Astyanax mexicanus: one gene and its partner. The protein of the gene in region 2 interacts with the protein of the main gene of each other region in a pairwise test. Links are inferred from orthologs where the notes say so. Each region holds a gene or a part of one and is shown on either strand. Other genes may lie near its edges.

Region 1 (10,228 bases), on a different chromosome or scaffold from region 2:
GTGATGGAATCATGCAGGTTTTCACATTATAGTCTTAACACATCCCTCAGTGCACCTCCTGCAGTCAAAGCCTGATCCTAAGAGAGGAACTGCAAGAGTGCATAGGTGAACATGAATAGGAAAAAGGTGCATATGTTGAAGAAATAATCAGATTAGGATTGACAGGATGTTTATATTGCACTTGTATTGAGTTTCTGAAATGTATAAGTATATAAAATGAAAATATCTGCTATATATCTTGTAACAGAGCTGGTTTATTAAACCCTGACCAGCCCATCTCTAACGTGTAAAATCATATCATCTGTTTTGGTTCTGTCTGAAAACCCACTACTGAGCAGGCATGGCTCCAGGGGTTTGCGACTGTAACTGTGTGTGTTGTGTGTGTGTTCGTGTGTGTGTGTGTTTGTGCTTTACCCAGGCTTGTGCTGTGAGAAATATCTTGAAATCCTCACTGCAGGAGAGAATAGGATGCTCAGCTATTCTGTTGAGAAACTTGTGCAGCGCTCTCTTTCTGGTCTCAATGAAGTCGTTATTGAATCTCTCCACCATTCCCTTCATCACAAACTTCTCTGGCAGTGGCTGAAGCAGCACAAACAAGCCATTGTTCAGCATGACAGCAGAGAACAAAGGACATAACAAGGTTAGATTGAGTCGAAGCCTTGTATTTTTTGTTCAATGTTCAGTGTTACCCTTTTCCGATTAAATCCCTTTTTTTCTGTTTCTAAATACAAATTAATATGAATTTACATACAATAGATTAAGGAATATTTTTGTATTGTTTAGCAGGTGATGATAGTTCATTTGACCTGACTTCTTTTGATTCGATCAAATGAAAATATCATATATATTAATAAACATGAAAAAAGTTACAAATATTTAACCATCTCATGTAAAGTTCCTGTTTTGGAAATATGTTTTTAATATATTGTTTTTTGAAAGTGACAGTATATAAAGCACATAAAAAACAAGTTCTATTTAAATAGAACTTAGCACCTCTTAAATCAGTTAAATCACATTTTAACATATCTAGATAGAAGCCTGAAATGCGAATACATACATACAATGGCTGCATTTGCAAATGAGAGGAAAGATTGCATGCCTTCATCTCTAGATCACTTACATGAACAATAAGCGTGGGATGAGCCTCCTCCAGCTTGCTTTTTAACCAAAAGAAGTCTTGGTAGCGCCTGCGGACTTCATACTCACTGGAGTCAAACTCACTACGGGTGGTCTAATATCAGAGAGAGAAAAACATTTTAAGCATTTAGATGGTAAATGAAGTTGAATCCTTTTTTCAAGCACTAATCTGCAGAGTGTGGTTTGTGATGTACCTTGGTCAAAACCCTGTATGTAATAAAAGTCTCAATGGCAGTCACATGGCTTTCAGGGTTATCGACTGTGACGAAAATGTCTTTAGTGTCAGGCTGCTCTTCCTCCTCCTCAAACTTGTACTGATTGACCATTGAGCCAGGGGAGGTTTGCATGGAGGCATTCAAAGAGCCTCCGTCCGTGAAGGTTGAATCCTACAACAAGACAAGAAAAACAGACAAAATTGGGTTTGAGAGACAAAACTGGGCTCTAAAAAAATCACTCTATAGCTCACATGGACATCAGAACACTGACATTGATTTTACATTGCAGCATTTGTACTCTTCCTGCACTTATTAACTAAGTGACAAGCTATTACTATTTTGGATTTGGTCATAAGCTGTGCATCTCTTTATTGCAGAACACTTCTTAATTAAGCATTTATTGCGCTCTTTGACTGCAAAAGCAGTTTGTGAAGACTCAGTCAAAAAATTAAAATCATTCATGCTGTAGTAGTGCCAGTGTGTTTTGTCTGTGTATCCTGATCAGAGTTTCCCAGCAAAGCCTACTGCCTTATCACCATTCAATCAGAGACTCATGCAAATATTTCTCATTTTATCCAAACTCTCAGATAGATAGGTCAGATCTGTGAGGAAAAGCAGAGGCCTGCATAGTAGGGGTGGGAATCGTTTACTATCTCACGATTCGATTCGATTCCGATTTTGGGGGCCACGATTCGATTCAAAATCGATTTTTGATTCAAAACGATTTGAATTATAAAAATTTCTGCTTCTGGCTTATGAATCTTATTGAAAAAAAACCCTCCATAATATACACTGGTCCTGGAGCAGGTAATGTGTTACAAAAACAATAAAATGTGCAGGAATGTGGGTCCTCAGTGACAGAGGAATCACTGGGATATCACAATGACGTTAATGAACAATAAATAAATAATAAATAACACTGCTTTATTACCAGGCTACTAGCGGTGGTGTGTAGGTGACGCTGCTGGGCTGATGTGATGATAGCAGTGGAGCGCTAAAGTTCAGGAGCAGCTGCTGATTAACTAGTTAATTTAAGGTCGTTGTATTTCTTCAGAAAGGGGGCAGGAGGTGGAGAAATTAATTCATATGGTCCATTCCTTAATTCCTCTGTGATGAGGAGCTGAAATTAGCTCTGATTAGCTTATTGTATTTTTCCGTTCCGCCTTAAATGCTGCAGCCCGCTGCCACCTGTAGCGTTATTTAAGGTGGAACTGGAAAGTTAGCTAGTTAGCTAGCTAACAGTTACTGAAACTAACTACTAGCGATCTTTTTTATGCTTGTTATGAAGCATTCTGCCATAAAACATTGAAACTACACGTTAATCTAATGTAATATAGTGCTTGTTCTGCCATCTTACCGGTGATTCTCAAACACCTACGCTCTGTGTGTGTCTGGAAGATCTCCGTTTGAAAGGACAAGCGCTATCCCCAGGGTTGCCAGGTCCAACAAAAATACCCAGCCCAAAATCAGTCTAAAACCCGCCCCTCAGAATCGATTTTGGGACATTTTAAATCGATTCTGAATCGTAGTAAATGAGAATCAAGATTCTTATGTGAATCGATTTTTTGGCACACCTCTACTGCATAGCCTCACTGCTCCTCCTATCATGGAAGCTTCCTGTCAAAACAAACTCCACTGCTGTCAGCAGATTTCAGGAGGTCCTAAAACAAGGAATTATTAAACAAACTGCTCAGCAATGTCCAAGGTTTTCTGAAGGTTAGGAGAAAACACTCCTCCCCCCAAAAAAAGATAAATAAAATACCAAAAAAATTTAGGTTACCTAACCTTGCATTTTGCATGTTACAATAATAACCTATTTAGCAAATGTTACTCTTAAATATTACTCTAAAATGTAACTCTTCTAAACATTTGCCAGCATTAGGAAAAACATTGTTACAACAATTATATTAATGAAATATTCTAAAAGCATTAAGGTCCCTGACCCTGACAAATGAATGTTAAAGGAGCACTCTAAACATGTTAAACATTACACAAACGTTCTGAAAACAAAATTCAGTTATCTAGGTCAGCTATGTCACTGTAACACTTATCAGATTTATTTTCTGACCTTTCGAGGCTACATTTGAAAATAAAATATTGAGGGTAACATTTATTATTTATTTTTTTATGTTTGACATAACAAAGAAGAAAAATATATATATTTTTTCCATTTTTCAAGTTTCCAAATTCTGCACCCTCACAGTCTGAAATATTGAAAAACATTTTTTTCATTTTTGCACTTTGTAACAAAAATATGATGTTTTAAACCTAGCTACATACATTTGTTCCAAGATAAGTAACGTTAAATGGAAAACAGAACAAAATCATATTACAGAGTTTACTTTTTTTGTGTTGGGCAGAAATGAAAAATGGATGAAAAACAGTTTTTGACTATGCCAAATTGACAAAATCATATAATTAAGTTGTACACACAATATTTTATTTCAATATTTTGCCTCAAATTGATCATTCCTAAGCTATAAAAATGGAACTGACCTAAGCTAGCTAGCTTAGCTAACTAACTTACTAGCTTAGGTTAATCTTTTATTTGATTGGGCTGAAATGCTAATGGCTAATAGCAACAGAAATAACACTCATATCTAGCTGTGACCGGTCTGTAACCCTAGCAACGCTGGGACGTATTTATATATAGTTAGGTAGCAGCTATTTTAATCCGGTTACAGAGACTTAAATCATTACTACACTCCCTCATAGCTAACGTTAACTAGGTTAACTAACGCTGAGTGAGACAGGTTAGGGTAATTGACAGGTTAAGTCAGCATTTCTTGTGTTTCAGACACAGATAAACGGTGTAGAGAATTAGCTAAAGCTGTAAGTTAGTTAGGGTTTGGTATAATAACAATAACCTCAGCTGATTTCTGACCTTTGGACCCCAACACTAAACGTAAACACGGAAAACAACGCGGCGGCGACAAACATTAACAATGATAATAAGGTATTTTCCTTTATTTTTTATTATCTAAACTGTGTATTAGTATTAGATAGCATGTATTTGTTTGTATAGAGAGAGCTCTCATTTGTTATAGTTAGGCTACAGACTGAACTGACTGGATGCTGGGAGTGTCCACTTTTGCACACTCACTCCAACTAACTTAGTTTGAGCTTAGTTTGAAGTTAGATAGAATTAGCTAAGCTAGCTCAAACTCAACCGCTTCAAACACAATTTTACACAATTCAGTTTATCTGCTATAACGTTATATAAGTTACACATACACATGAACACACAGACAGACAGACCACGTAGCGGCAGCCATCATCACACTATTTATCTCTGTGGTCTCAGTGAGGCTAGCTCCTCTCCTGCTCCACAAGCTCTGAGACAGCGAGTTTTTTTACCTTACAGAAAACCTCAAAATCCTCGTCCTCGTCCAGTATTTGTCCTGAGAGTTCATCCGGGACTGCAGCAGTGGGACTGCCGCTGTCGACCACCGTCCCGCTCATCATGGCTCAAATCTCTCCTTTCTCTCAGATCAGCAGATCACTTCACTGATCATGATGCAAACTTTTCCGCCAGAGTGAAACTCTGAAACTCGGGCTGGCAGGCAGGCAGGCAGGCGGGCAGACAGGCAGGGGCAGCAGAGTGCGCAGAATCGGAAATACCATTTCAGGAAAGAAGAGCTGAATCTGCAGTGGAGAGGAAGGCCTGGCTGAGTGAGTAGATAGATAGAGCTATACACACAGAGAGAGAGAAAAAGTTCAGGTGGACAAACTGGAAAAGTAGCCCGGCCTGCTGGGGTAGACCCGGGTTCGCCCTGTGTGTTTCTAATAAAAATAACTAGTTAGTAAACCCACATTCACATAATGCACCGTCCGTAGCCTGTTGTTGATACTTCAGTTGAAAGCTTTCCAAAACATTCTAGAGCTTAAGGAAAATTAAACCCACTAAACAAAAACATGCTCCCTTCACTGTAGAACAACAGTGAGAGGTAACTTAGTAGTACAGAGTACAGTAAATGCAGCACAGCAATCACCAACATTCTACAGCTCTGAAAAAAAGAAAGCACTTAAATATTATGAGTTTCTTTGATTTTACCAAATAAAAAAAATGGATGATCCCAAAAGATGGATGATCACAAGCCATCAAACCAAGCTGAACTGCTTACATTTTTGCACCAGGAGCGTCATAAAGTTACCCAAAATCAGTGTGTAAGACCGGTGGAGGAGAACAAGCCAAGATGCATGAAAATTATGATTAAAAACCATTGTTGTTCCACCAAATATTGATTTCTAAACCATTCTGAACCAAAACTTTATGATTATGAACTTGTTTTCTTTGCATTATTTGAGGTCTAAAAGCTCTGCATCATTTTGATATTTCTGCCATTTCTTATTGTCTGCAAATAAATGCTCTAAATGACAATATTTTTATTTGGAATTTGGGAGAAACTTTGTCCGTAGTTTATAGAATAAACAACAATGTCAGTTTTATTTAAACATATACCAAAAAAGAGCAAAATCAAATAAACTAATTCAGAGACTGAAGTGGTCTCTTATTTTTTTCCAGAGCTGTATGTTTAAACTACATGTCAATGACAAAAGTGATAATACAAAAATTACTATAGAGTAAAAGTACCCGAATAAAAACATGTAAAAGTAGTATTTTTGTATAAACATGAAAAAAAGGTGCAGAAAAACTGATCTTAAATGAAAACCTACGCAGAATGAAACATATGTAAAATGTTTAAAATATATTAAGTACATTTGAAAAAAATGGCCTAAAATGTATTTGCTTTCCTGGGGAGAGCCAGAAAGATTCATCACATTTTGTTGGTCTTTACGACTGCACTCGAGGATACTTCCAAAGTTCTTGACTTTTATTTCTTAAAGTAGTTTTTTTCTTTACTTTGTAGAGTAGTTCTTGCTATAATATGGATTAAAACGTTATTCAACAGTATTCACTGTTAACCAGCTCTACCTCTTCACAACTTTACAACTGATGCTCAAACACATTAAGAGGCAAGAAATTCAAGTAATTAACTCTTGACAAGGCACAGCTGTTAATTGAAAGCCACAACAGGTGACTCAGCCTCATAAAGCTGACTGAGAAAATTCCAAGATCTGCAAAGCTGTTATCTCAGCAATGGGTGTCTACTTTGAAGTATCTACATTATTAGAATATAACCAGAATATAACCATATTCTGTTTTGTTTAGCACTTTTTAATTACTAAATTACTCCATATGTTTTTCTGCATGACCTGCAGAACTTTTGAAAATAATGGGAAACACTAAATTTTGACTGGTACTGTACATATTAGTAACTTGTCAAAACTGGTTTAATGTGTAAAATCAAGAGCTCTACTTACAACAACAGCACAAATTATATCACCAAAATATACGTGAAGGTAAAACCTAAATGTCTTAGAAAGAAAACTTTATCAGAGTTTAAGTATTTAAATGTAGAATGCTCATTTATAAACAGGTGGAAAAGTACAGAGAGCCTAATGGAAATTGAGCTGCATATAAAAAATCATACTCCGTTAAAAGTGGAAGTATGGAGCCAAACAGCATCTATATTTCAAAATCATGAAAACGTAACTAATTTAAAATGTAACATAATGAGTCACAATATGCTTTCCTGTGCTGTGGAGGTGTGTGTTGCGAAGGCTAATGGACTTCTGGAAGTTATGGGCAGTTTCATTTACATTGACATAAAGTTGATTGTATTTTTAATTGAAATGAAAAAGGTTTAGAGAAGTAAGAAACTTTCATGACCTTTAGGAATGTAAATGAGGTCTAAATGAATGTATCCCTTTTGGAAATATAATTGAGTTAGAGTTCAAGTAATTTGAATGAGGTCTGCGCAATATATTGTTTTAGCATCACCATTACAACGTGTATATTTTCAGTAGTCACATTGCTAGATGTATAATGTTACATGAGGTTTTGTTAGCCTATATGTCAAAAGTTTTTTGCTGTTTGATGCAAAAGGGAAATTCTCAATGTTCTCTTATTTTCCATGATATATTATACTATATCTGTTCAGTGTTGTATATTTTACTCCATTGTTTTAAAAAAATGGATTGAATCTTTAATATTATCACGTGTTGGATTGCTGACTTCTGGTGAAAAATACAATGTGTATAGAGGGCTGGGCAAGTAATTAAAAATCAATCACAATTTACATTCACAAACTGTAATTGACGCAGTCTTTCCCTTATCGTTAATTTTTATTTTCCTTTAATTCTGTAATATTTTTCACATTGTGTGTGGGCATGTACTGTCTTGTCAAACATAAAGCCATATTTGTATTTACATAACTACTCCCTATCCAGTGTATAACAAGGAAGCAATGTGGAGGAGAACTCAAACCCTGATTCAACTGAGCAGCTTAAGCAGCTTGTACCAAAATAAATTGCTGTACACTTGTACATTAAAGTACATTAACTATTTTTTCATTAATCATGATTAATATCAAATGTGAAAATAATTGTCATACTTTTTCCAATATTATGCAGCCTTTATTTTATTAGCTTCAAAGAAGTGCAACTCTTTTAAAGACAGAAACAAAGAACAATTAACTATGTAGAGTACAGATCCACTAAATGTTGAATTTATAATATTGAGTTGATTTGTCTTTATAATAAAGTCTGCTTTGATGGAAACTGCCTTATATCCTGTAAACAATTTTATTTACTAGTGCATCTAAAAAAATAGAATATCAATGAAAAGTTGCTTTATTTCAGGAATTCAGTTCAAAATGCAAAACTCATATTATATGGATGTATTAATACAGAGTGATCTATTTTAAGCATTTGTTTATTTTATCGTTGATCCTTATGGCTTACAGCCATTGAAACCCCAAAAATGAGGGTCTCAGAAAATTTGAATATTATATATTATAAGACCAATTGGTACTTTTGGCAGTGTGGGCAGTGTGTCAAGTCCTGCTGGAAAATGAAATCTGCGTTTCCATAAATGTTGTGAGCAGAGGGAAGCATGAAGTGCTGTAAGATTTTCCAGGAAAACACTGCACTGACTTTGGACTTGATATAACACCGTGGACCAACACCAGCAGCATTTCATTTGAAAATCAAGAGACCAGAGTCTGGAGGAAGAGTGGAGAGACACACAATCCAAACTGCTTAGGGTCTAGTGTGAAGTTTCCTCAATCAGTGATGGTTCAAATTTTGGGGTTTCTTTGGCTGTAAGACATAATCACCAACAATAAAAGACATGAATGATTAGATAGATCATTCTGTGTGTAATACATCTGTATACTATACACGTTTCACATTTTGAACTGAATTACTGAAATAAAGCAACTTTTCACTGATATTCTACTTTTTTTTTTTTTTTGCCGCACTAGTATATTACTTTTAACCTCATATTTACATGAGGTCTGTTACCTGTTTTGGTCATGCAGTTGATCTGCATCACCAAAAGATGTCACTGTAGCACAGCCAACTGCACAGCAGAGCCATCTGGCATGAAAAGTTTTCATGTGGCAGGTCTGTGTGTCTGTCTGGTTTTGTCTAGTGGTCTGTGCATGTCTGTGTTTTTGTATAAGTTTCTCGATGTAGCTTCATAATGAAACTCATGGCATTAGATACAGAAAACAATGTATTAAGAGTGAGAGAAGTGGTGCTTGGTTCTGCTTAAAGTTTGATCAAAGCTGGGAATGATACCTGTTCAGATTTATGTGAAGGCATGTATAGACTATGTACAATCATCAGTCAATGAATTCAGTAATCTGTTCAATTAGTTGTAATTGATGATGCTGTAATGAGTTAGAGCAAATCCAGGTTTCTATATGAATGAAGAAGACCTAAATTAAGATGTTATCTGGGAAGTTCTGAAGTAGCGACTGTAGTGTTTAATAGATCTATCTCATTGGTCTTTATCACAGTGACTTGAATGAATGTAGAGGGAAGGCAATCAGAGGTACTCTAATTAGAAAGTGTGGTGTAATATCTTGCTGGTACACACTGTTGATACCTGCAGAAGCTCCAACAAATAAGAAGTCCTTGGAATGATGCCACAACCATACAGATTGTGTAACCTTTTGCACAAAGCGTGAGTAGCATATCCTTCAACAATTCAGATTAGGCAGTATTAGAATAATTCTACAAAGGTCAGTCCTTTACTGTGCTCAACCCAGACTGGTAGAGCACCGAATGCAGAAAAGGTCACAGGCGCCACAATCGTATTGTCTTGCTGCCGTTTGATATCGTTTGTCTGTGAGATTGATATAAACCTGATGTTAGGATCACTTTTTCCCTGTATTTTTCTCCTTTTCCTCTCTTTTTTGTTTTATGTCGACCATCTGAGTGCAGCACTTCAGATATGTGTTCTTGATGATGGTTTTAAAGTGAGAGCTCAATGTGCTGGGCTTTGATGGAGTGCCAGCATTAGTGAGAGCCGTTCAATACAGGGCATTAATTGCTCCTTAATTGTACAAAATGTGAGTGATAAATGGCACCTCAGAAAAGGCAAAGTCTGCTTTTAAAAAGAGGTCTGGAACAGCTTACTCTCTGATAGTCTCTAAACCTGATTGGGATCTTGTTACTTGTTCTTCATGCATCTTAGAAGTCGAGATGTCACTTCCAGCACCTTTGAATGATGGGACACATGGTTCTAAACCCAAAGCAATTGCTCAAAACCCAAACATCTGTCAGTAAAAGTCTAAGCCCATAGTTATATTACCCTGCTTAACAAATTAAACAGCTTTTCTCTTTATCAAGCAGGTTTGGAGTTAGTGTTTTTCACATGATTTTCATGTTACATGTCAGAGATGTGATGCATAAAATAATGCAAAAAAACAAAAAAATTAACATTGAGGTTGAACAAGGATTTGTAGCCAGCATTGTATTTTACATCTCCACTTCTGACTCCTCTAATTCATGATGTTGGTTTG
Region 2 (10,591 bases):
AAAAACGCAAAGACAAAACGCAAACAAGAAATAATAACATGAAAATAAATCGTATACCTCCTTAGGAAGCCTAAGAAGCATCTCTTTACACCGCTGCATGCAGGACACTGCCTCCTGGTGATTCTCTTGAGCAACTGCCTAAAAGTCAGTCACGCCAAGTGCATTTATGTAAAATATATTCTAAATGTATTATAATATTATTTTAAATTGTTTGCTAGGATTATTACAACTCCAGTCATTCTCTACTACTAAATGCATTACATATAAGCACCATCTTACAGATTCTGCTTGATAAGAGAGAACACGCAGAAGATCTTTCTCTACATCTCCTTTCGGTGTGTTGGTATCAGAAACACCAGCTCCATGGGATGTTAGTCTGCAGTAAAGAGTCTCCAGACTCTGTGAAATCATACAAAACATTTATTATTACTGTACTGGAGGTTATATTTAGGTCAACAACAAACTCAAATCAAAATACAATCAAACCAGATTGTTCTATTAATTTAATTGCACTGTTTCACAAGAAAAAATAATTTGTGCAATGTCATTGTCTGACAATATTCTATATATCTATATCTTTATATCTATATCTATATAGTTGACATGAAGTTCACACTTACACTGACTGCAAGTTTTAAAAAGTCATCGGCAAGCTTAGGGTTTTTACAATCAAGCCATGTTCTCCCTGTCTTACTGGCCATCTGCGACACATAAAAATACAACACACACACACACACACCATAAAGAACTAGCTGAAGTGCAGTGGAAATGTTGCATTAAAAAATTAGACTAAACTAAAAGGAAATATAATTAGTGTTTTCAGAAAAAGTTCTGAATTTCAAAAATAATATTAAATGAAGTGAGAACACAGACAAACCATAATCTGTTTGCGAATAACATTCTCAGGTGGTTCCTCGGTTTCACACACATACAGGAGTTTGCAGGCCACAAGACGCACTGAATCACACAAAATATATCATAACATGTAAGGTAAAATGTCATTAAAGCATCTGTAAACTTACAGAAATAAAGACTGCCTGTAAGAAAATAACATGACATTTTTATAAAACAAAAACCTTTGGCTTTTTGTTGCTCACTAATAACAGAACCAATATTTTTGGTCACAGCCCAGTTCCACAACTGAATAGCACATTCTTCAACCTGCAAATAAAAAACATGTTTATTATTTTTGTTTTGAGCTACTTTCTAAAAATGAGAAACAAGATAATCATGTCCCATTGGGGTCTGTGTAAGGTTTATCAATTTATCAATTTTCAGATTTTTTTATACATGTTTTTCCAATTATCTAGTTTTTCATTCACAGTCAGCATTTCAGCTGAAAAAAACGTTATTGTTCTTCTAATTGTTTTTTTTTTGCCCTATTTTGGTACATAAGTAGGTTGGATTACAGCATCAGACTGGGGGGGGGGATACCAGTAAAACCCCATCTCTATAAGTTAATGTCAGAGAAGATAACAATGTACTTTTTATTAAAAATGCCTTTCTGTTCTTACATATTGTGGTAAACTGTGCCATATCCAGTAATTTGGTAACCTTTATCTCTTTATATTTCACAAGACATCATAACTTACTTCAAATTATTGTCGATATAAAGTCCACTTTTAAAATTCCGTGGATTTTCAGCTTTAGACTTATGATCTAGCTAAATAAAATTTGTTCTCAAATAGACCGGCACCTCTGTATCTTGAATTTTAGTGGGTTTCTCAAGCGACTGAACTTTTTCAAACAGCGTCTCAATCAAGTCGTTCACACTGTCATCACTCTGTCTGTTAAGAAGACTCTCTGCCAGACCTAAGAGAGAAAAACAGATTATATTGTTGGTAGTTAGGTAGTTCATACAGCACGACATGTTTGGCTGTTTATTTTGGTTGAATTGAGTTGTCTACATTACCAATGTAACTATAATTGGTTTCTCTAGTCATAGCTTATATATTGTGGTAGGTTTACTAATGATTACTACATAACTAAGTAACTAACTTTATGTACCTTAATGTAGCTAGCTACATTTGAAGGCAAACACTTTTTTCCAGCCTTTTTCTTTTACTGGAATAATATTTAAGCGTGGGTTAACTCTACATTAATTTAAGTAGTTCGCTATCTAGTAATTGCTCCACCACTAGTACAAAGTAGCTAAGTCAAGATAACTAGTTAGCTGACTAACAAATCCTTCAGCACAAGTTAGATGGTAAGCTAGCTAGTAATTCCTTCACCACTAGTTAAAACAAGTCAGTTAGCTTTTTTCCAAGTTAGAGGCCTCAAGGGATGCTTTTTAATTTTACTGTAATAATTTTCTTTATCGTTTAGCGTGGGTATCTGTACTTTAACTTAAGTAGTTTTCTAGTTAGTGATTCCTCCAACACTAGTTAAAAGTAGATTAGTTAAGGTAACTAGTAAGATAGCTAACTAGTAAGTTAGCTAATTCCTCCACCACAAATTAGTTGGCAAGCTTGCACTTCCTCCACCACTAGTTAAAATTGTCAATTAGCAAACTAGCTAGCAATTCTTCCACCACTATTTAAAACAAAGTTGGTTAGCTACGTATTTCTCCACTGCTATACAAAACTAAACTAGTACTTTAAAACTAAAAAGTGAACTAGTTAACCTAGCTAGTAATTTTTTTTACCAATAGTTAAAACAGTCAGTTAATGCTAGCTAGATAAAAGTCGTATTTCCTCCACCAACAGTTAAATTTAATCAGTTGGATAGAAATTCCTCGACCACTAGTTAAAACAAAGTTACTAAGCTAGGAATTTCCCCACCACTAGTTAAAACTAAGTTAGTTAACCTAGCTATTAATTTATCCACCACTAATTAAAATTGTCAGTTAATGCTTGCCAGTAATTCATCCACCAATAGTTAGTTAAATTTAATTTTACTTAAAATTGTCAGTTAGGGCTAGCTAGCTAAAGCTAGTAAGTTATTTCCTCCGCCAATAGTTAAATTTAAGTCAGATAGCTAGTAGTTAATTCCTCAACCACTAGTTACAACAAAGTTAGTTAGCTAAGAATTTCCAGACCACTAGTTAAAATTAAGTTAGTTAACCCAGTTAGTAATTCCTCCACCGCTAGTTATAATTGTCAGTGAATGTTAGCTAGCTAGAAATTCATCTACCACTAATTAAAACTAAAGTTAAGTTAGATATCCAGGAATTTCTTCACCACTAGTTAAAATTATTATCAACCAATAGATAACTTAGTGTAATTTAGGTCAGTTACTAGTTAGCTAAGCTAGGCTAGCTAGTAATTTCTGGACCAATAGGTTAGTTAACTACCTAGCTAGATAGTATTTCCACCACCAATAGTTAAATTTAATTCAGATAGCTAGTAGTTAATTCCTCAACCACTATTTAAAACAAAGTTAGTTAGCTAGGAATTTTCCCACCACTAGTTAAAACCAAGTTAGTTAACCTAGCTATTAATTTATCCACCACTAATTAGAATTGTCAGTTAATGCTTGCCAGTAATTGATCCACCAATTTTCAGTTAATGCTAGCTATCTATTAAACCTAGTAAGTTATTTCCTCCACCTATAGTTAAATTTAAGTCAGATAGCTAGTAGTTAATTCCACTAGTTAAAATTAAGTTAGTTAACCCAGTTAGTAATTCCACCACTAGTTACAATTGTCAGTGAATGTTAGCTAGCTAGTAATTTATCTACCACTAATTAAAACTGAGGTTAAGTTAGATATCCAGGAATTTCTTCACCACTAGTTAAAATTATTATCAACCAATAGATAACTTAGTGTAATTTAGGTCAGTTACTAGCTAGCTAAGCTAGGCTAGCTAGTAATTTCTGGACCAATAGGGTTAGTTTACTACGTTACCTAGCTAGATAGTATTTCCACCACCAATAGTTAAGTCAGATAGCTAGCTAGCTAAGTTAGTTATTCTTTGCTAGTTAAAACTAAGTTAGTCAGCTAAAGAAATAAAACACAAGAACTACATAGTTAGTAAGTTAGCTCTAAATTTCTCCACCACTAGTTAAAATTAAGCCAGTTAGGTTAACTAGAATTAGCTAGCTAGCTAGCGGCTAACAAGCTAACGCTAACTCACAATAATTACCTCAGATAAGCAAACGGGGATTTTAGTCTTTTGAAGACAATTCTTACCTTTCACATTAATAAGAACGTCCTCCATCTCAGTTTTACAATGTTTATACCTTTATAACATGTATTTGAACCCAGGCAACCTCGTATCTATACTGTTTTTAGGACAAAACCTCGTTAAAATCCCGTCTTCTCTCACAAAAACTCACACAACTAATCAGCTAACGTGTTGCGCGAGCCTAAAGGGACAGTGAAGACATAAAGCCTGTAACGTTAGAATTATAAAGACAGGGTTTTTTTTACAAACATAAATTGTAATAAATATGATAAAAAGTAAATAATAATAATAATAATAAAAAAGTAAAGATAAATAAATAAAACAAATAAATCAAAATAGAATTGAGTTAAACAATACAGGGGAATTTCCAATTACTTTGAAAATAATGTTGGTAAAGTTTTTTTTCTCCAGAAATTTAAAATTAGCAACATCAGAGCTAATTTACAACACACACATTATACATTATTATTGACTATTTGTAACACAAAGCTTTCACTATTATTAAATCAGACAAAATTAGACAGTTTTTTATGGATTTTCTGATTACATGAGGAAGACCAGGATATAAAATTATTTGATACAAAGATGGAATATATGGGTCTACCTGTTTGTTCCTTATTTTCATGCATATAGTGCATTGCTAAGAAAATAATTAAATTGCTTGAAAATATATTCCTTTTTTTAATTCCTCATAATTTTTAAAACATATATTTTAAAAAAATGTTTACATTTATTATGTGTAAAATTCTGAATAAATCTAAAGACATTTGCCATAGTCTTTACATGTGCTTATAAAGGCAAAAATATATTTAGTAAATGGCGGTAAATCACAAAATGACACCAATACATTTGGTAAATATGCTTATAAGAAATACCTTTGACATTATTTAGTAGTAATATTTCCAACAAATATTCTTCCCCTGTAAGACAGCAAGCTTATTTACTGGAGGTGCAGTCCTGCTATATGACCACTAGATGGTGTCTTACACAAGACATATGAATCACTTAATAAAAGATTCATAGACAGAAAGAGCAAATTACTATTATAATTATTATAATTTTGCTGTATTGTAAAGTTTTGCTGTATTGCAAATATTATTTGTTAATAAGAAAAAAATCAAACATAATCCTTTATTAGTTCTTTATTAGACATACAAAGGAAAAAGTGATTACAAACTAAGAATTAAGATATAAACCTTAGTAGGTACGTTTCCTAAACATGATACTTTGATTTAAATGGAAAATCTGCATTTAAAATGCTGTTTAGTTCAAGACATAGCTTAATTGCTGTCTGGGATTCCCCTGTAAATAAATAAAAAAATAAACATTGATGAAGAATTTTACAAAAACTGCATATGACAAAACAAACAACGGGTGTTTAAAACAAGAAAAACAGTAATTCACCAGTTTTGCACGATTCTTTCTAAATAAAGGCATATTGACCAATCATGGTCTATTCTAAGCCACATTTAACATAAAGGTTTTTGTTGCTACAGCAGACATCTTTGTTTTAACAGGGAGCGAGGTTTATTGTTGACCTGAAGGAAAGAGCTCAAGCTGCGCACACAGAACTACTCGGACCCTCTTATTGTTTTCCGCACACTAGATTAAAAAAGAAACGTCTTAAAAGCCCAGGCCTTTCAGCCCTTGGTTTCCAGTAATTGTTCCCACTCGAGTCTTATCTAGCTGCCCTCCTGGCCCACGGAGAATGTGCACCCTTCTGAAGACTTGCCTGTAAAAGAAAAAAGAAAGAAAGAAATGTATATGAGTTGTGATGTGAAATAAAGTCCTCGGGTTTACTTTAGAATGGAATAAAGTAACAAATAGGACAAAAGAGCTATTTTAAAAACCTATTTCATCATTTTATGCATCATTTACTTCATAAAACAAGACAGGTTGGGACAGTATGAATAATAAAAAAAGTGCTGAGTTTCTTACATTTAGGTTTTTTGTCATTTGTTTTATTGGAGACAGAAAGCTAAATATTTTGTTTAATTTGTTAATTTACAACTTTTGTACATCAATTCATGCATTGCAGGCCTGCAACACATTCCAAAAAAAGTTGGGATGAAAAATCAACACTCAAAAGATTCTCTATTCTCTATTCTCTATTTAGGACAGGTCCGGTCTGCAGGCAGGCCAGAACAGTACCCATACCTTCTTGTTCTGAAGCCATACTTTTGCAGTGTGTGCAACATATGGTTTTGCATGGTCTTGTTGAAGAAGAAATACATAGAGGTCTTCTCTGGAGAAGATGTCATCATAAGGCAGCATATGTTGCTCAAAGATCTCCATTAACTACATTTCTACATTAATGCTGCATTGCAGAGGTGTACTGATCAAAACCCAAACCATGACAGACCCTGGCTTCTGGCCTTGTTTCTGATAAAAGTCTGGATGGTCCTTGGATTGCATCCATTTCTTCACACAAAAAAATAGAGGTACGATATAAGTCTTTTCTTTTGCTCAAAGTGCACTTTTTATCATTTCATAATTGTGTCCTATTAAGGTATAATATTGGTCTTTACAGGGTCAGATGTTCCCTCTGAAGCATAAAGTCTTTCCTAACAGCAGGAAGTACAGATTTGTACCATTTAACCAGCTAAAAGGTACATTTGGTATTCTGTATCACTGTACTAATAAATAATATATATTTTAATTACACATTTTTCATTTTTAAAGCCAGACAATTTTGGACAATCAATTCTCGACACATATTCAGTTGATGATAATGTTTATAATCTTTATAATCTTTACTGGTACCAAAAACATGGGTCCAAAAAAGACTATTACTAAAAGGTATTCTGTTGTACCTTAATATAAGGTACAGCCCCAGCGACAAGCTTTGTACTTTTTTGAGTGTTCCAAAAAAGATCTGGAGGTTTCCACTGTGAGATGATCAATCCCAGAAGCCTCATAGCCCAGAGAAGTTAACACATTTGTTAATATAAGGCTTTGATTTGAACTGTAATGTTTTAAGAGAGGAGACACACCCAGTGTAAGTCAGTGAATCAGAACTCTTATGCCTGACAATCTTATGAACAACCCCTCCACTAAAGTATATCCATGGATATGTCCCTATTTGTGATAAGGTGAACTTGCTGGACGTTTCAAAATCATGGGAGGTTCCCAAATGTTTTTAGGCCTAGATATAGCATAGCTGTGTGTCCTGTTTTCCAAAGTTAAAAATAAAGCAGCAAATATTTGTCCTGTGGATATTTACCTCGATAGCACGAGTAAGACAATGCCTGTTTACCTTTGTACCCAGATATTTTAGGGAGGTGCAGCTATGTTTATCTGTTTATCTCGAGAAGGACATTTGGGGAAAACAGTCATGTGTAAAGTCACTTGTTTTAACACTATATCAGATCAACTGGCAGTGTTTTTAGTCTTTAGTATGTTCTTTGGACCTGAAATAAACAATGAACATCAGTAGTCAGTCATAGAATATGTTAGTTTTTTTCTCTCTGACCAAGCTAGACAGTTAAAGATAAGTAATAATAGAAGTAATATAAATAGAAATATATTAATTTTAGATTTATTTGAAATATATAATAGAAAAAAAAAACTGAAATTCCACGTAAATCAGTTGTAAATCCAATATTATTGATAGATAAAAGTAAAATTACAGAGATCTGGATTTTGAATTTAGATATGAATAATATTATTGCTACTAAATTTAAAACAAAACAATTTTAGATATCTAAAGTATATTATAGAGATCTAAAATTCCACATATCCTAAAGACACATGATCATAACTGCAGTATATTAAAGATATATTGACCTAGTCAGGATTCAGATAGATCAGATAGATCTGGACCTGGACTGAAACCTGGACCTGAGAATTACAGTGGAGATAAATGGTAATGATATAAATGGTAAAATATGACTAGAAAAACTAACATTATGGCTATATCATCCCAAAAATATGTCTAGTCAGAATGTCAGAATGGATTTATAGATACAGTACCATTCAAAATTTTGCACACTCTTTCTCACTAAATGTTTTCTTTTATTTCTTAAACAATTACTGTGTGTATACAGCTCTGGAAAAAATAAGAGACCTCTTCAATTTATGAATCAGTTTCTCTAATTTTGCTATTTATAGGTATAAGTTTGAGTAAAATGAACATTGTTGTTTTATTCTAGAAACTACAGACAACATTTCTCCCAAATTCCAAATGAAAATATTGTCATTTAGAGCATTTATTTGCAGAAAATGAGAAATGGCTGAAATAACAAAAAAGATGCAGAGCTTTCAGATCTCGAATAATGCAAAGAAAACAAGTTCATATTCATAAAGTTTTAAGAGTTCAGAAATCAATAAATATTTGGGGGAATAACCCTGTTTTTTAAACAGTTTTTATGCATCTTGGCATGTTCTCCTCCACCAGTCTTACACACTGCTTTTGGATAACTTTATGCCTTTACTCCTTGTGCAAAAATTCAAGCAGTTCAGCTTGGTTTGATGGCTTGTGATCATCCATCTTTCTCTTGATTATATTACAGAGGTTTTTAATTTGGTAAAATCAAAGAAACTCATCACTTTTTAACTGGTCTCTTATTTTCTCCAGAGCAGTATGTGATATTATTGATAGTAAATGATAAAAAACGCTTTACAGATGTTTTGAATGTGAAATTTACCAGTATAAACTCGTATTACTGGTTTGATTTGAGACTTAAAACGGATTGCTATGATAACACTGAGTGTGTGAGAGTGCCACAGGCTCCCAGTCAGGGCTCAGTGACGTTGCCTCTTCCTTTCAGTATAAAACCCTGGAGCAGGATGGGAGCAGGAGGAGAGCTGCTGCTGCTGCGCTTAGTTAATAGCCTGCTGCCGTCTGTGCAGCTCATTCCCCTGCTTGGAGTCGCAGTGGAGGATATGTGAGACGAACCCTGAGAATCCTGGACTGTTTTTTTGCTTGTTTTTCCTACTTTTCTTATTTTTTGTAATATTCTGATTCGCCAGGAGGAGAATAAAACCACATAGCACCTGCCCAGAGGCGCAGACTGGCTCCTACCCCTTACCTGAAGGAGCGTAAGAGCTGAAAAAGTGTCTGGACACCATGGAATACAAACCTTAACCTTGAAAACAGGCTGTAAGCTACCAACAAGAAGTTCTGTGGCTGCAGGAGCAGCTTATAGCTGCGGTTCATCCATCCACTGTTGGAGGTTATCTCTTCTTCTTGCTGCTGCTGATAGATATAGATAGGCTAGAGGGACCTGGGCTACTGGGTTACTTTGGCTTCTGACTGATTGACTGACTTTTCGTTGGAGTAACATTAGGCTACGGAGGGACGGAATGATTCCCAGAAGATCGGCAGCCTTCATAGCCCTGCTTTTCCAGTGCTTTACCTCCACAAACGGTGAGTCCACTTCTCTGGTTTTCTCTTCTCTCTGCCTGGTTGCTCTGCTGATTGATGCTGGTTCAGCTTCACTCTGAAAACATCTGAATCTGAGACTGATGTCACAAATTTGTATTTAAAGTCATTAAATATTAATTTGTGAAGAGTATTTTAGCTAAATATATATTTTTGTTTCATTTTTGGGCGCTTGTGTGGCTTTAATTCTGGTTGGATGCTCTCTCTCTCTGGAGTTGGCTCAGTCTCTTATTATTAAGGCTGGACAATTTGACAAAAAAAAAAAAAAAAAACATATCCCCATATGCAATAGTGGAAATTGGAGATATATGATAGGCTACAAAATATGATATAATTAAAAATATATTAAAAAAAGATCTTGTTAAAGTATTATTAATATTACTTTAATATATGTTGAAAAATTCAGCTTGCTGGTTTCAGATAGTTTAAGCTGATTCAAAAAGCTGGTCACCCAGGCTATATACTGGTAAATAGGGCTGCAGCAATCAGTTAATCATAATCGTAATTGACAATGTCAATTATTTTTAACAGCACCACACTTAACAAAGAACTGGGCACAGAAACACAATGGGAGGGGGCTATATTAATGAGTTAACTCACACAGTTTACCCTCAAGTTGGCCTGTGTCTCCATAAGTTCACGAACGCAACAGATTATACAGTACCAGTCAAAAAAATTGACACACCTTAAATTCAGTGTATTTTCATTATTTGAAATGTTTTGCATTGACCAGTAATGCCATCCAAACTATGAAGAAATACATGTGGAAATAATTAGTAAACCAAAGAGAAAATGTTTTATGTTTTAGATTTTTCAAAGTAGAAGTTGTGTTGTGAAGAGCTAGACTTGGTACACAGTGAATAGCCTTATTTGCGTAGTGTTCTAATCCACATTATGTTAAGAAATACTCAACTAAGTAAAGACAAAAGGTGAAGTAAAGAAATGAAGTAAGTCATTAATGAAATAAGAAAAAAAAATCAAGAACTTTCAAAGTATCCTCAAATGAAGTCACTGCAAAGACCATCAAAAACGGTATGATTGAACTGGCACTCATCAGTACTGCCCCAGGAAAGGAAGAGCAAGA

Evidence for each region. The genes of interacting proteins can lie anywhere in the genome.
Region 1: the proteins of tex11 (region 2) and snx7 interact in binary tests that used the Homo sapiens proteins (3 or more experiments, as listed by UniProt). The two-hybrid records come from large-scale screens. The link is inferred for Astyanax mexicanus from reciprocal best matches to the Homo sapiens genes TEX11 and SNX7.

The regions. Positions count from the first base shown.
Region 1 is NC_064413.1:37,369,721-37,379,948, reverse strand, and holds the start of snx7 (sorting nexin-7), read right to left. Parts: upstream 4,950-10,228; 5' UTR 4,818-4,949; coding exon 4,710-4,817; intron 1,524-4,709; coding exon 1,332-1,523; intron 1,232-1,331; coding exon 1,121-1,231; intron 580-1,120; coding exon 415-579; intron 1-414. UniProt on the Homo sapiens protein: Involved in the regulation of endocytosis and in several stages of intracellular trafficking. Together with SNX4, involved in autophagosome assembly by regulating trafficking and recycling of phospholipid scramblase ATG9A.
Region 2 is NC_064417.1:48,322,329-48,332,919, reverse strand, and holds the start of tex11 (testis-expressed protein 11), read right to left. Parts: upstream 4,328-10,591; 5' UTR 4,158-4,327; coding exon 4,130-4,157; intron 1,813-4,129; coding exon 1,697-1,812; exon of another isoform or gene 1,593-1,696; intron 1,162-1,592; coding exon 1,077-1,161; intron 958-1,076; coding exon 878-957; intron 702-877; coding exon 621-701; intron 400-620; coding exon 280-399; intron 139-279; coding exon 58-138; intron 1-57. Other genes in the region: kdrl (vascular endothelial growth factor receptor kdr-like), read left to right, coding at 9,429-9,492. UniProt on the Homo sapiens protein: Regulator of crossing-over during meiosis. Involved in initiation and/or maintenance of chromosome synapsis and formation of crossovers.